Oryctolagus cuniculus: one gene and its partners. The protein of the gene in region 1 purifies or fractionates together with the protein of each later gene. This does not show direct contact. Links are inferred from orthologs where the notes say so. Each region holds a gene or a part of one and is shown in the gene's direction. Other genes may lie near its edges. The genes, in order: TSR1, RIOK2, RRP12 and RPS3.

Region 1 (4,377 bases):
AGCAGTGGAGAAGCGCTTTCCTGATGACAAACTCCTCCTGTTAGACACTCAGCAGGAGGCAGGGATGCTGCTGAGGCAGTTGGCTAACCAGAAGCAGCGGCATCTTGCATTTCGAGATCGGCGGGCCTACCTGTTTGCCCACACTGCTGATTTTGTGGCTAGTGAAGAGAATAACTTGGTGGGCACCCTGAAACTCTCAGGCTATGTTCGTGGGCAGGCTCTGAATGTAAATAGCTTGCTACATATTGTTGGACATGGTGATTTCCAGATGAAACAGATAGACGCCCCCACGGACCCTTTTCCTTTAAATACTAGAGTGATTAAACCCCAAAAGGACCCAGGCATGGCGATGGAGGTAAGATTGATGTTCTTTTTTTTTTTTTTTAAGATTTATTTATTTATTCAAAAGTCAGAGTTAACACAGAGAGAGGAAGAGGGAGAGAGAGAGAGAGAGAGAGAGAGAGAGGTCTTCCATCTGCTTGTTCACTCCCCAATTGGCCACAATGGCTGGAGCTGCGCTGATCTGAAGCCAGGAGCCAGGAGCTTCTTCTGGTCTCCCATGCAGGTGCAGGGGCTCAAGGACTTGGGCCATCTTCTACTGCTTTCCCAGGCCATAGCAGAGAGCTGGATCAGAAGTGGAACACAGGGGCTAGAACTGGGCGCCCATATGGGATGCCAGCGCTTCAGGCCAGGGCGTTAACCTGCTGCACCACAGCGCCAGCCCAAGGTTGATGTTCTTAAAGATTTGTTCTTGCAGATTTGTATGTAAGTTGGCATGGAATGGAAACTTGAATTTAGAGAAGGCAGTCTCTCAAGCCAATGAGGAGATTACTAGTTGGAGTATGGCAGCAACAATCAGCTCTAGATACGTTAAGTCAGACATGTTTCCAGTACTTTCTAGGTACCCTGCTGCTGGCTCTGTGTTTATAAAAGACTCAAGGTGTGGTTACTTTCCTTAGAGAATTTAATTGGGTCAGAAAAACATGACAAACACCTTTGAAGTACAGACTGCGAGAGTCTATGGTTAAGTTAGAGAAATGCCGTAGGAACTGGGAAAATAAATTGGCAAGCTTTACTGAAGAGATCCAGCTTGAGCCACGTGTGTAATTTATGAGTTGAAAAGATCAAAGAATATGCTAGAAAATAGAAACAATATCAGAACTAGGCACGGTGATGGGTCAGAGGGTTTCTTTTTGAATTCTAAAGAAATCAGCTTAATAATACCTCACAAACAAGTGAGGTATAAACAAGTGGGAGTAGGACCAGATTAAGAAAGGCCTCAAGAGCCAGGCAGTAATACGACTTAAAATGCCATAAAGCAGCCATCTGGAAAACGTTGACAGATTTTGGCTTTCTGTTTTATCCATCTTCTGGTTTAGTGGGTTTTGGGTTAATGTTTGACCATTTGATTGGTTTTCAGATTTGTGCTATGGATGCTGTAACTGATATGGAAGAAGACATTAAAGTCCTAATGAAGGCAGACCCTGAGAAACAGGAATCTTTGCAAACAGAGGTTATCCCAGATCCAATGGAAGGGGAGCAGACTTGGCCTACTGAGGAGGAGCTAAGGGAAGCAAATGGTTGGTATTGGCAGGTTACTTACCTGATGAGGGATTGTGGATTTTGTCTAGCTGCTCACTGTGAAGATCCCATAGGGTGGAGCGGAATACAGGTATACTTGAGGGTATGTCATGTCCTCTCATCCCTAAATGTTGTGTGTTTGCATTAAGCAAACATTAGACACAGATTTGTTCCATTCCTCCAAGTTTTTTTTTTTTTTTTTTTTTAATGTTAATTTACTTTTTATTTGAAAGGCAAAGTGACAGATATCTTCCATCTGCTGGTTCAATCTGTAGGACTGGCAATATGGGATACAGGTGTCTGAAGTGGCAGCTTAACCCTCTGTGCCACAATACCCACTCCATCTTATTGCCTTACAGTGAATAAACTTTATAACAAGGCTTATCTATCTAGCTATGTAAGTGTTGCTGGGTATGAGGTACCCAAATTAATGGACATATTTTCTACTCATAGTGTCTGCTAGAGATTGTTAGCAGCACTATCTAGCATCTTTTTTTTTTTTTTTTTAAGATTTATTACTTATTTATTTGAAAGAGTTAGAGAGGAGGAGAGACAGAGAAAAGGATCTTCCATCCACTGGTTCACTCTTCACATGGCTACAGTGGTGTGGCCCAGCCCAGGCCAAAACGAGGAGCCCAGAGCTTCTTCCAGGTCTCCAGCTTGGGTGCAGGGCCAATAGAGCAGCAAAGTCTTGAACTGGTGTCCACATGGGGTGCCAGCATTGCAGCAGAGGTTTAACCTGCTCTGTCACAATGCTGGGACCCACTATCTAGCATCTTGTCTAGGTGAGAAATCCCAGAGTGATGGGAAAAGGTGGTATATAATTTGCTTAATTCTTTGGGCTTTTACAGACTTCTTGAAGGAAACTTCCAAAGTGGTAAAGAAGGTCCCCAAAGGAACATCCAGTTACCAAGCTGAGTGGATTTTGGATGAAGATGGTGACAGTGGTGGGGAAGGAGATGAATATGATGATACAGAACATGAGGATTTTATGGAAGAGGAATCTCAGGTAAGAAAATTGGGCCTGGGCCAGTGTTGTGGTTGTAGTGGGTTAGGCCACTACATGGTATACCCACATCCCATATTGGAGTGTGGGTTCAAGTCTTGGTTACTCTACTTCTGATCTAGCTCCCTACTAATGCACCTGGGAAGCAGCACTGCTGGCCCAAATACTTTGACCCATTTGGGAAGTGAACCAGTAACTGAAAAATCTCTCACTATGTCTGATCTGAAGCTTCTGGCTTCAGATCGGCCCAGCTCTGGCCATTGTGGTTGTTTGGGGAATGAACTAAGGATGGAAGATCTCTTTTTTTTCTTTTTTTTTTTTTTGACAGGCAGAGTGGACAGTGAGAGAGACAGACAGAGAGAAAGGTCTTCCTTTGCCATTGGTTCACCCTCCAATGGCCGCTGCGGCCGGCGCACCGCGCTGATCCGATGGCAGGAGCCAGGAGCCAGGTGCTTTTCCTGGTCTCCCATGGGGTGCAGGGCCCAAGCACCTGGGCCATCCTCCACTGCACTCCCTGGCCACAGCAGAGGGCTGGCCTGGAAGAGGGGCAACTGGGACAGAATCCAGCGCCCCGACCGGGACTAGAACCCGGTGTGCCGGCGCCGCTAGGCGGAGGATTAGCCTGGTGAGCCGCGGCGCCGGCCTAGATCTCTCTTCTTCTCTGTGTAATTCTGTCTATCCCACCCGCCCTCCGAAGATTTATTTATTTATTTGACAGGCAGAGTTACAGATAGGTAGAGAGAGAGAAGTCTTCCATTTGCTGGTTCACTCCCTAAATGGCTGCAATGGCTGGAGCTGGGCCAGTCTGAAGCCAGGAGCCAGGAGCTTCTTCCAGGTCTCCCACAAGGGTGCAGGGACCCAAGCACTTGGGCCATCTTTTGCTGCTTTCCCAGGCCATAATAGAGAGCTGGATTGGAAGCTGAGCAGCTGGGACTCGAACTGCAGGTGGTGGCTCTACCTGCTACACCATAGTGCCTACCCCTGTAACTCTGTCTTAAAAGAGAGATATCCTCTATCCACTGGTTCATTCCCTAGATGGCTGCCCAATCAGAAGCCAGGAGCTTCTTCCAGGTCTCCCAGGTGGGTACAGGGACCCAGGCATTTGGACCATTTTTTTTTTTTTGCTGCTTTATTAGGTGTATTAGCAGGGAGCTGGATTGGAAGTGTAGCAGTGGGGACTCGAACTGGTTCCCATATGGGATGCTGGTGCTACAGGTGGTGGCTTTATCCACTAAGCCACAACACCAGCCTCAATAAATAAATCTTAGGAAGAAAATGGGTTCTTAAGCCATTTCTGTGTATAGCTCCAAATGCAAATCAAATGGCAGTCCTAACCTTGAGAGGTGTGTGGGGTGAGTCTAAGAATGCCTCGGGCCAGCGCTGTGGCTCACTCGGTCAATCCTCCGCCTGTGGCGCTGGCATCCCTTATGGGCGCCGGTTCTAGTCCTGGCTGCTCCTCTTCCAGTCCAGCTCTCTGCTGTGGCCCTGGGAAGGCAGTGGAGGATGGCCCAAGTGCTTGGGCCCCTGCAACTGCATGGGAGACCAGGAGGAGGCACCTGGCTCCTGGCTTCGGATCGGCGCAGTGTGGGCCGTAGCGGCCATTTGGGGGGTGAACTAATGGAAGGAAGACATTTCTCTCTCTCTCTTACTGTCTATAACTCTACCTGTCAAATAAATTAAAAAAAAAAAATGCCTCTTGGGGCTGGTATTGTGGTACAGCAGGTTAAGCTGCCACCTGCAACACTGACATCCCTTATGGGCACTGGTTTGAGTATCAGCTGCTCCACTTC
Region 2 (4,256 bases), on another chromosome or scaffold:
GGCCCTGGAAAGAGAAACTTTAAAAGAGAGTCCCAACATGGTATTTACAGTTGCCAGCTTTTATGCAGATCCAAGCAGGAGTAGAAAGATTGGGTAGAAGGAGGTAGAGGGGATGAAGAGAGAAATGTTCCCCTTTTTTTTTTTTTTCAATGTTTTATTCATTGTTCATTTATTTGAAAAGCAGAATGATGGAGTTTCCATTTGCTGACTAGATGCCTGAAACAGCCATGGCCCAGCCAGGCTGAAGCCAGAAAGCAAATCGGCCCAGCCCTAGCTATTACTAGCATCTGGGTAGTGAACCAAACAAATAGAATCTGTGTATTGTGTGTGTTTGTTTCTCAGTCTGTATGCCTTTCAAATGAATGCATAAATGAAAAACTTTTTAAATTATTTTCCCTTTAAAAACTAGATATTTCTTTAAAAAGGAGTTTATAATCAGTGAAGATATGAAGGTGGGTGCTCAAGTAAATGCATTCACCTTTAGTGAAAACTTGCCACTAGATGGCAGTGTCACTTCATAGTCACCAGTTGGAATACAGGAGATTTCCTGAGAGTGATACAAACAACAGGTTCACCTTTGGAAAATTAATTCTAATGGTTATTTGCAAGATCCTCTATTATCTAATAAACTCATATAAATTTATAAATGCAAGAAAATATCAAATCCAGTTCCCTTGAATATTGGATTCTCAAAATATGTGTATAACCCCACTTTGAATTTTAGATATGCCTTTAAATTCAGTGGTTTTTTTATCTGCTCTAAAGCATTTTTATAGCATAAATTATTGTTGAAGACAGCTTAATAGAACCACAACATGTTTATTTTGGAGTACATTTTCTTATCCAGAGTGCTGAAAGCAAATTGTGAATAAAACTATGACCTCATCCTGTTTAGCTTTTCTGAATTGACTTAGTCAACTTTGGGGAACCCACCATATAAAAAACTCACTATTATTTGAGAAATTTAGAAGGCAGATAAACATGGTTCTTACCCTTAACAGCTTCAGATTTCATGTGGACCACAGGACAAATACTTCAAATCAGAACTAGAGGTGCAGCCCTATTTGAACAGTGATACTGAAGACTTGGTAATAAATGATCTGGTAAGGCATTTAATTTCTTTTGGATTATATTTTGGTGGTATGAAAACTAGAATCCAGTCACAACAGTTATTTTTAAAAGATATTTTTTTGATAACCATCGATGAAAAAGGATCTGCCTTAGCAAATTGTCACATTTTAAAGCACCCATAGTGAACAATGACAAAAAACTCCACAAATGTGATAAAGCTATATATTGTGATAGAACACTTTCTGAGTCCAAATTTAGATCCTGATTCCGCCACTTCCCAGACTTTAAGTAACTTCCATAACCACTCTAGTCTCACTCTTGAGAACTGTAAAATGGGAACATTAAATAGTGCTTGTCACAGGGTGGTGAAGATTAAATGAACTAACACTTGTCCACTTGTTGAGAAGAACTCAGCACAGCGCCTACATGCTGTGTGCTCAGGAAGTATTGCTAGCGTGACCCACAGGAAGCTTCTGTAGGCTGACAGTCTTTCCTAATTTCAGGGTCAGTGCGATTCGACTGCAGTCCTTTGTTGTGTATTTTTCAAGATTTGCCTCACATAGTCTACTTACTATTTCCATTAAATAAGCTTTTCCTACAAAACATGGTTTATATTTGTTCCAACTTGGGAACCATTGATCTGTTCCTGAGCACAGATCTCCTGAGCCATAAAAATGTTTAAAGGATACCAATCAGAAGTTAATGTAAATTGAGAAAACTGTTCATTCAGCCAAGAACTTAGTAAATTTTCTGACAGATCCTGTAGGTGTCTGAAGAGCTCTGGCCAATGCTGCCCCTCAGATTTTCCAGCCACTTCCAAAGGATCAAGAGGTGAATTCATTAGGTCTCAGTGGCTAATGGGTTTATTTCACAGTCACAGATTGAGTACTCTGGTGGTTAAAGCTCACTGTCCTCAGTAGTCTTCCTGCATCCTCAGAGCTCCCTAGAGAGCAGCAGACCATATCAGTTTGCCCTGGTGTGTTTTAGGAAATTCGGGAGCCACTTGATGCAACCTTGTAAGGAGTCAAGAGATCACAGTTGAGAACAGCCATGGGTTATGCACTGATTCACAGCCAGGGGTGTGGGGAGCATGGGAAACTCAGTCACTCACAAAGACTCTGTTGTCACATTTTAAGACTTTTTCTTTTACCTTAATACTGTAAATAGCAATGGCATTAAAATTAACATCTTCTATGTTTAGCATCAGATTGTTGTAGGTTTTTATGTCATAGTATGCCTCATAATTCAAATGAGTATTCATTTTAGTTGGGACATTCATGACAATATTATGTGCTTCCATTTCTTTAAAAACTATTTGAAATAAGTGAATCTGTAATCCTGCTATTGGTAAGAGATTTGGCCCAGATTAGGAAGAGAAAGGTGTGTTCATACTTCAGTATTTCATGTATCAGCTAGTGTGTAAAGGGATATCAGGAGAGAATATGTATATTTTTAGGGTATATTTTTCTGACTGAATGCTTCAGCTATATTTGGGTAGGCAAGAATGGCACAGAGCAATGACATGGCAGCCCAGAGTAGATGTCCCGCTGATGACTGCTGAGAAATCCCAAGGACAGTCTGAGGGGCAGGCCAGCATGCTTTGGGAGTTGTTTTGTGGAAGAGGGATTTGGTTGAACAGGTAGAAGGCAAAAGAGCTTGCAGAGAGGAAATCATGCAGAAAATCCCCGAGACAAACGAATGCAGTGTGCTACCAGACCGTCGATGGGGGATGGGTGCTGTGCAGCAAAGGACTAAATTAAAGGATGGCTGAATTAAAGGATGGATTTTAATTTAAAAAAGAAAAATGTGATGTATTAGGGGAAAGCTACTGTAAGTTTTGAACACTACAATGATGTGATTGTCAGTGTTTGAATGGATTGGAGGGAATCCAGAATAGAATCTAAAAGATTGTCCAGTTAGCAGCCTAAGTATTAAGGTTGAGACCATTTATATAGAATTCTGTTACACTGGAGCTATAACAGATTCTGTTACCTTGCTTTTATTTTAAAGATGAGAAAACATCTTTAAATGTAAAATTGCTTGCTCAAAGTCATAGAGTAATAAGGTTGAGAGGTGAAAGGAGGAAAACCAATATGCTTGGGTGGTTTCAAGCTTGTGTTCAGCCTTAGGATCTCTTCTGGAAAGTTAATAAGCTCCACAAATTTGATGTGTCTTCCTGTTGCTTGGAAGTATCAGAAAAGACAGTCCTTACAACCAGGTTTGGGGTTTTGTATTGTTTTGGTTTTGTTTGTTTTTTTATTTGAAAGGCAGGGAAAGATAGAGGCAGAGGGACTAAGAGAGAGATCTTCCATCCACTAGTTTCCTCCCCAAATACCTGTAACAGCAGGAACTGTGCCAGGCTGAAGCCAAGAAACTAGAATTCCATCTGGGTCTTCCCACGTGGATGGCAGGGGCTCAATACCTGAGCCATCATATGCTGCCTCCCAAGGTATGCATTAGCAGAAAGACGAATTGGAAATGGAGTAGCCAAGACTAGAACCAAACACTCCAGTATGGAATGTGGGCATCCCAAACAGTGACTTAACCTGCCATGCAAAATGCCCATCCCACAACCAGGTTTTGAGTTTTATCCTCCAAAAAACTTTCTGCACGTTTTAGAGGACAAAGCTTGTTTCCATAATAAACAGTTTCACCTTTATATCACATGCCCTAGAAAACCCATCTCAGTAGACAGACACCCTCAGTGGAACATCCCTGGGGTTGGGGGAGGCGGGGCAGTGCTGGGGAGTACTTTACCCTTGAATTCAAGGCTATGGAAGCACCTCGAGATCAGCAGAATATATTATTCTAGAATTTTGTCTTTCCCATTTTCTTTTTTTTAATATTTATTTATTTGAAAGGAAGAGTTACAGAGAGGCAGAGGCAAAGAGAAAGAGGTCTTCCATCTGATGGTTCACTCACCAAATGGCTGCAAAGGCTAGAACTGGGCCAATCAGAGCCTGGAGCTTTTTCCGGGTCTCCCACGCAGTGCAGGAGCCCAAACACTTGGGCCATCTTCTACTGCTTTCCCAGGCTGTAGCAGAGAGCTGGATCAGAAGAGGAGCAGCCAGGACTTGATCCAGTGCCCATATGGGGTACTGACACTGTAGGCAGCCACCTCACCCACTACACCACAGTGCCTACCCTGCCCCATTTTCAATTTGTGGAAAAATAAGTCCATTTCT
Region 3 (3,529 bases), on another chromosome or scaffold:
CTTGCAGCCCACCCCGTCTCCTGGGAGCTGTTTGCCTGTCTTGTCCAGGTTAACAATCTTGTCCAGGCCTGAGTCAGCCGGGTTTGGAGAAACCCACGGCCAGTGTTGATGGGAGCTGGATTTGTGCTGGGCCTGACCAGAGGGTTTCAGTCTCTGTCTCAGGGCCCCTGGGCCGTTGCCCTCCCTATAGCAGCTGCTAGAAGGATCGAGGTACCTTTGTTGTCTTCCTCCCAGGGCCACCCTGCAGGGCTCCTGCCCCCGCCCCGTGTCGCAGAGCCCTTGCTGTGCATCTAGCAGGCTGGGCTCCTGGGGCCCAGAAGCTCCTGATTCCAGTAGCAGGTGTGGCCTCAGCTGCTGACAAACCTCACGGTTCCTCCTACAGCCCCCACAAGCCAGGACGCAGCCCACCTGCCTGCTCTGAGATGCTGCAGTGCGGGGACAGTCATGGCAGTCAGGAGGCCAGAGGCCTACTTCAGGATGGCCTCCCCGCTGCTGCTTAGTGTGTGACCTTAGCGGGTCACACTGCCTCTCTGTGCTTCTAGATTCTCATCTTTTAAAAGAGATCTTGGTCACCCCAGGGAGCCCTCCTGAGTCAGCACTGGCTCTCTGGGAGCCCGCCGGCGACTCTGGTGACGTCCCGGCTGGAAAGGACAGCTGAGCCTGCACGGCTGCCCTGAGCGCTAAGCCTCAGCCTTCAGATCTGTGCAGTGGGATGCGGCGCTGCGCTTGGCTGCCTCGCTGCTGGTGTGAAGCCTGACGAGAGAAGGGTGGGAAACCCAACGTGCCCTGCGTTAGGGCTGAGACTCCGCTGAGGCTCGAGCTGTACGTGGCTGAGCAGGGAGTTAGGTCCGGGTCTGTGTGACCTCAGAGCCTGTGTTCTTTGTCCTGGAACGGTGGGACAGGTGTGACTTTGCAGAAGTGGGCGATTGTGTGTGCATTGTGTGTGCTGCAGTCAGGTCACTGGCCAGCCCCTCCACAAGGAACGTATGTGGCCTTGCTTGGTTAGGGGTCAGAGCCAAGTTCCCATCTGCTCTGTGGCCACTGTGAGAAGGTGCCTGTGGCCATGGCTTTGCCTGACTCTCGATCTCTCTTCTCCCTGTAGCTGGAGGCTCTGGCATTCATCGCCCTATAGCCAAGAAAGTTGTGCCCGGGGCTGAATACAAGGCCAAGGTAAGAGCTGCAGCTGGGAGCGTAGAGTCTGTTGGTACTGAGTCGGGGCAGGGAGGAGCTGTGCCCATCTTCATCCTGGAGAGGCACCTTTGTGGGCTGGACTGAGGCCAGGGAAGAAGGGGCATGGCCGGGTATTGGTCCTCTGGGGCTACAGGAGCTCTTGGGCACCACCTGAGCAGACGGGAAAGGGAAGGGAGGGGAGAGGTTGGGGCGTGTCGGGTCCAGGCAGAGGCGGAAGGGGCAGCCTCCACCCTTGGCGGACTGACTGTGTCTCTGGATGAGCAGAAAGCAAAGGGTGACGTGAAGAAGAAAGGTCGGCTCGACCCCTACGCCTACATCCCCCTCAACAGAACCAAGCTCAACCGCAGGTACGGTGGCGCCCGGGCCGGCTCGGGTGGGGAGCTCAGGGCCTTCCCGTTAAGCTCACAACTTGCTCGCCTCTCTGGGAAGTTTTTAAGTTTTCTCTGAGCACAGCCCGCGTGTGGGCACCTCCTGTGCCACTGCCTGGGCTGACTGCTCTGAGACTGGTGCTGTCACGCACACGCTCACCCGTTCATCATTCATGCCGCTGTGTGCGGCTGCCTGCAGTGGCGTGCTAATCCCTCGTGGGTGGAAGGTCGGTCGGTTCCGACTTTGGCTGTTAAGTAGGGTTCGTAGGGGTGGGTTGAGGGCCGCGTGAGATGCTGGGTGAGGCGAGCTTTGGGAACAGGTGTCACGGGGAAGTGGTGCTCTCAGCTTCAGTCACTGAAGGCTTCTGCTGAATACCAGTTCCCCGTAGGGGCAAGGGTGGGTGGAGAGGAGCTGTGACTTCTCTGTACCAACGTCAGAGGAGGGGAGGAAGGGAGCTGTTTCCGGGGAGCATGGTGCCGAGTGGAGTGGCCAAATCAAGGCAGGAGCCACGCGTGGTCTGCCCAGGTCATGTGCTGCCAGGCATGGCCTGCGCCTGCTCCGCAGTGCTGCCGTGCTGGAGCGAGCTGTGTTTGGCTGGGCTAAAGGGCCGCTTGTCTCGAGAGACATGACCCTGTGTTCTTGCGCCCGCAGGAAAAAGGTGAAGCTGCAGGGACAGTTCAAAGGCCTGGTGAAAGCTGCGCAGCGGGGGACCCGGGCCGGACACAGACTCCGCAGAAAGGGTCACCGGCCCTGAAGCCCCGGGCCCCTGGGCAGCTCCGCACGCCTGCCTCAGCCCCGCATCAGCCCCCAGCTGCCTTGCTCCAGTGCCTGGACTCAACATGCGGTGCTGGGACTGGGGCCTGGGATTTGGAAGTTCCAGATGGGGCTGCCCTTTCAGGGCGTCCCCGTGAGGCGGCTGTGCGCTCTGCCAGGGCCGGCCCAGCACTGGGGCAGATGGGCCTCCTCCAGCTCAGCTGCTCGTGGCCATGGGGCACTCGACCCAGCCATGGTCTGGGGCTGAGGTTCACTATGACCAGCTATAGAATAAACACGCGTGACAGTGTCTCATCCCTGTGCTTCCTGACCTGCTGCTCCAGGGGTAGGGAGAGTGAGCGCCGACGGGGGACACCCAGGCAGGAGGGCGGCCCAACTTCACATGAGAGTTGCAGTTGGAAAAGTGGCCTCGGGAGGTGCAGCTCTGGGATTGGTCTCTGGAGACTGGGCGCCAGGGACTGGGGACAGAAAAAGGAGACAGCGGCTCAGAGCCAGTTAGAGCTGCAGCGCTGGCTGCCCCTGGACACAGAGTCTCTGCCCAGGGACCCCACACAGTGCCTCCTGAGCCTGTCCCGTGCCCAGCACAGCCCAGCTCGCCTCCCCTGTTTCTTAACGTTCTTTCTGCCAAACAAGGGCTCCCACCGCCCAGGAGCCCTGCTGCGTGTGCTTTCCTAACAGGCAACTAGAAGCCACCCCAGGGCTGCCCACCACACCCCAGTGTGAAGAACAGGTTCTGTTTTTCCCCATCTCAAGTTCTCCGCTGTGAGATGAGACCACACACATATTCCACAATAGTGTCCCTTCCAGTTGATGTCGTAGGCTCTGATAATGCTCCCGGAAGGCCCTCCTGGCGCCTGTTCTCATGCTCTAAGGGCACCTGAGTCTTAACGGGCGCCGAGCCTTTGTTGTCCCTGCTCTTGGGTTGGGAAGCAGAGAGGAACTGCACTTTGCCCAGAGGTGGCGCTGTTGACACGCGTTGTGAACAGAAACCAGGCCTAGGAGAGTAAGCAAGAAAGGTCAAAAGAGGTAAGCACTAGGGGTTTGCAAAGGTAATCTGGCCACAGCCCTGAGCACAAGGTGTGTTGAATGAAGCCAGTTCAGGGGCCAGCACTGGAGCAATGGGCTGGGCGGCTGCTGTGACAGCAGCATCTCGTATTATAGCGCCCGTTCAAATCCTGCCTGCTCCACTTCCCAT
Region 4 (3,679 bases), on another chromosome or scaffold:
AAGATAGAAGACACTTGATCGGTTGAGATTTTCACTCTTATTGGCACCATAAACGCGAAAGCAGTCCTGATGAGAGAGCTTAAAATCCAGATACTTAATGTGGTGGGCTATGCGTAGATAGTAAGGTGACAGGTGGCACGGGGTATGAGAGGCGTGAAGTTAGGTTGCCGCCAAAGCTGGGCTTGCTGGTGAGGTTTCCGTGTAGATAAGTTTGTGAAGTGGTTGGAAGGCCTTGCCTGGCTGTTTGGAATTTAGTCAGTACTTAGCACAGAGCCCTGGGGTCAGGGTGGGGGCTGTTTGGCAGGGGAATGGAAGTTCTTAAACTAAGCAAGGTACTGAACTTCTCTGAACATTTGAAAGACATAATAACGGGGAGAGACAGATCTTCCCTCCCTTGGTTCACTTCCCAGATGGCTTCAACAGCTGGTGCTAGGCGAGAAGCCTGGAGCTCAGTCTGGGTCTCCCACGTTGGGTGATGGGCCCAAGCACTTGGGCCATCTTCTGCTCCTTTCCCAGGCACATTATTAGCAGGGAGCTGGAAAGAAGGGGAGCAGATAATATTTCACAGGCCATACATAATTACCAGCTTAAAAATCAGCCTGCTCTAGATTGACTGCAGCTGCCTTAGCAGGGCCAGATCCCATCATTGTGGGCGTCTTGGGCACCCTGGGTTACATATTAGAATAATCTGTCTGGGGCTCACCACTTGAGATTGCTGCTGTAATTGGCCTGGAGGAGGGCTATCAAGAGGTTTTTAGTTTGTTAAAAGATATATTAGGCAGAGTTACAGAGAGAGAGAGGTCTTCTATCCTCTGGTTCACTCCCCTCAGGGCTGGGCCAGACCAAAATCAGGAGCTAGGATTTTCCTCCCAGTCTGCCACGTGGGTACAGGGGCCCAAGCACTTGGGCTGTCATCCGCTACTTTCCCAGGTGCATTAGCAGGGAGCTGGATCATTAGTGGAGCAGCCGAGACTGGTGCCCACATGTGATGTGGGTGTTAAAGGCTTTACCCGCTGTGCCACAGCACTGGCCCCTGTGGGTTAAGTTTTCTGAGTTAACTGATTTGTAGTCATGGTTGGAAAGCACTCGGAATAGGAGCTTGCCTTTAATTTCCCAAGGATAAAATGTGATAGAAAGAGGCGAGAAGTGCTGTTTGAAGAGCAGATGGGACTAGAACTGGCACCCATACGGGATGCTGGTGCTTCAGGCCAGCGCTTTAACCCACTGCGCCACAACGCTGCCCTAAATCTTTGGTTTTTAACTTGGTGCAGTGGGTTGATAGGTTCCGGCTTCAGTAGTAACCCAAATATGTCTCCCTGTTCTTCCAAAGGGCCTGCTATGGTGTGCTGCGGTTCATCATGGAGAGCGGAGCTAAGGGCTGCGAGGTTGTGGTGTCTGGGAAGCTGCGAGGACAGAGGGCTAAGTCCATGAAGTTTGTGGACGGCCTGATGATCCACAGTGGGGACCCTGTTAACTACTATGTTGACACCGCTGTGCGCCATGTGCTGCTCAGACAGGGTGAGCCACTGGGAATGCGTGTAGGTGGGCGTTGGTGGGTAGGTGTCATTCCATGGGTGCCCCAGGGTTTGAGGAAATTCATTTTGGAAGTAGCTGGGATTTATTGATTTCCTGCATAGGCATTGACAGCTGATCAGGCAGGTCAGTTGTGTACCCTTCGGTGATGACACGATGACGAGTCAGAAAGGTCACGTCCTGCCCTCGGGCTGTGCCAGTACCACGTTCTGTGGTGCTGTGCGTGGGTTCCTTGGGCAGAAGTGTCCTGTTCATTGATTGATTTAGAGGCATTTGTCTGAGAAGGGACCAGATCAGAGGTTCTTGGGTAACTCTTGCTGTTGTGGTAGGGGCTGGTGAACCCTACTAGGTTCTAACTCTGGGGTTTCCTAGGTGTGCTGGGCATCAAGGTGAAGATCATGCTGCCCTGGGACCCAAGTGGTAAGATTGGCCCCAAGAAGCCCCTGCCCGACCACGTGAGCATTGTGGAACCCAAAGATGAGATCCTGCCCACCACCCCCATCTCGGAGCAGAAGGGTGGGAAGCCAGAGCCGCCTGCCATGCCCCAGCCAGTCCCCACAGCGTAACAGGTATGTCTGCAGGGACCACCCAGGGCAGGAGGGGGTCCTGTTTCCTTTTTCTTCTCCCTTACTGGATGAATAATGGTTGGATTATATTTGCTTCATCTGGGAGAATATCGGTTGGAAAGCTGGGCCCATTTAGCTCGTGATTCTGTTGGGTTGTGTGTTTGCCTCTCAGAAATTTCTGTTTTGACTACTGGGTTGCTCAAGGTTTTGAAGGCATTCTTGGTATTAATTAGGTTTTCTGTCCTTTTGTAGTCCCTCTGAGTGGTAGCTCTGAGCCTCCCACGCCCAGCACATTTGGGGCTTTTGTTTGTTTTCAGTTGGTCTTTATTTTGTGACTAACTTTCGCGCAGTCCCTGGAGGGGGTGTGTGCCGACTTGGTAAATGAAAGAACCTAATACTCAGATGTAAGTTTCTCTTACTGTTCTTTATTTGGTTACAGGGTCTCCCTGGCAGCTGTATGGAGTCTGGATGTTACTTTATAAAGATCTTTAATAAAATCTTGTACAAAGACGCAAAGCCTGACTGACTGTCCATCTTCTGCCTGAGGGGTGAGGGTCTCGTTGGCCTGTGGGGGCATGCCTTACTCTGTTAGCTTTACCATTGTTTTTGCAAGAGCCAGAATGGAAGGACCCGAGCCGAGCTCGGCAGAGATAATCCTGTGGGGTGGAAAATCCCACGACAGTGAAGGCTGCTTAGCCAGCAGCATTGTGGATGTCATGTGGGTCAGGAGGATGGGTTTAGAAGAGGACTGCTTCAAGTAACTACAGTGGTATGTGTGTGTCATGTGCTCCGAGGGTCCTTTACAGATTCATGTAGTCCAGTATCTAACCATAAGGGGATTTGCTTTTGGCACTGAGCTTCAAGCTCTGCAGTAAATCTGGCCATGTGGTATAAAGCCGTTTTCAGGATCCACATTCCTAAGTCCTGCTGTTTGCCATTGTTCTGTGGAGAACAGTTTACCTGTCATGGCATTTTGAAGTTTTTTTTTTTTCTTTCATACCAGTGTCTATTTTACAAAAGATTGAGTGGTTTATTCAGGCAGAACTTCAAAGGGAACAGGTTGGTTTGAAACTCCTGTAACACTAATGATTAGCCAGATTCTGACCCCTCGCGGGGAGGGGGCTTCCCACCATTAGGATGTTGGGCGCGCTGGGTTACCTGTGCTTACACCCTGTTAACTACTGTAAGCATAAAATTCACCATCCTAGTGAGCCGCTGCCTGCAATGCTGGCATCCCATGTGGGCACCAGTTCATGTCCTGGCTGCTCCACTTCTGGTCCAGCTTTCTGCTATGGCCTGGGAAAGCAGTAGAAGATGGCCCAAGTGCTTGGGACCTTGTACCTGCATGGGAGACCAGAAGGAGGCTCCTGGCTCATGGTGGGCATGGCTCCAGCCATTGCAGCCATCTGGGGAATGGACCCTCTGTCTCTCTCACTCTGCCTTTCAGTTAAATAATAATTCACCATCTTTGGGCCGGTGCTGTGGCGCAGTGGGTTAATTCCCTAGCTTGAAGCACCGGCATCCCATATGGGTGCCGGTTCGAACACGGCTGCTCCACTTGCAATCTGGCTCTCTGCTGT

The links.
Region 2: the proteins of TSR1 (region 1) and RIOK2 fractionate together in Homo sapiens (co-fractionation; 3 studies listed by BioGRID and IntAct, with this or other methods). This does not show direct contact. The link is inferred for Oryctolagus cuniculus from reciprocal best matches to the Homo sapiens genes TSR1 and RIOK2.
Region 3: the proteins of TSR1 (region 1) and RRP12 purify together in Homo sapiens (affinity purification with mass spectrometry; 3 studies listed by BioGRID and IntAct, counting the BioPlex papers as one, with this or other methods). This does not show direct contact. The link is inferred for Oryctolagus cuniculus from reciprocal best matches to the Homo sapiens genes TSR1 and RRP12.
Region 4: the proteins of TSR1 (region 1) and RPS3 purify together in Homo sapiens (co-immunoprecipitation; 4 studies listed by BioGRID and IntAct, with this or other methods). This does not show direct contact. The link is inferred for Oryctolagus cuniculus from reciprocal best matches to the Homo sapiens genes TSR1 and RPS3.

Annotation. Positions count from the first base shown.
Region 1 is NC_091448.1:47,829,536-47,833,912, reverse strand, and holds part of TSR1 (pre-rRNA-processing protein TSR1 homolog), read left to right. Parts: coding exon 1-355; intron 356-370; exon of another isoform or gene 371-483; coding exon of another isoform or gene 484-624; intron 625-1,420; coding exon 1,421-1,580; intron 1,581-2,432; coding exon 2,433-2,590; intron 2,591-4,377. UniProt on the Homo sapiens protein: Required during maturation of the 40S ribosomal subunit in the nucleolus.
Region 2 is NC_091445.1:19,816,648-19,820,903, reverse strand, and holds the end of RIOK2 (serine/threonine-protein kinase RIO2), read left to right. Parts: intron 1-1,001; coding exon 1,002-1,253; 3' UTR 1,254-3,331; downstream 3,332-4,256. UniProt on the Homo sapiens protein: Serine/threonine-protein kinase involved in the final steps of cytoplasmic maturation of the 40S ribosomal subunit. Involved in export of the 40S pre-ribosome particles (pre-40S) from the nucleus to the cytoplasm.
Region 3 is NC_091446.1:32,465,827-32,469,355, forward strand, and holds the end of RRP12 (RRP12-like protein), read left to right. Parts: intron 1-1,102; coding exon 1,103-1,170; intron 1,171-1,455; coding exon 1,456-1,538; intron 1,539-2,211; coding exon 2,212-2,314; 3' UTR 2,315-2,628; downstream 2,629-3,529.
Region 4 is NC_091432.1:66,521,526-66,525,204, forward strand, and holds the end of RPS3 (small ribosomal subunit protein uS3), read left to right. Parts: intron 1-1,330; coding exon 1,331-1,518; intron 1,519-1,673; exon of another isoform or gene 1,674-1,819; intron 1,820-1,905; coding exon 1,906-2,099; 3' UTR 2,100-2,102; intron 2,103-2,538; 3' UTR 2,539-2,615; downstream 2,616-3,679. UniProt on the Homo sapiens protein: Component of the small ribosomal subunit. The ribosome is a large ribonucleoprotein complex responsible for the synthesis of proteins in the cell. Has endonuclease activity and plays a role in repair of damaged DNA.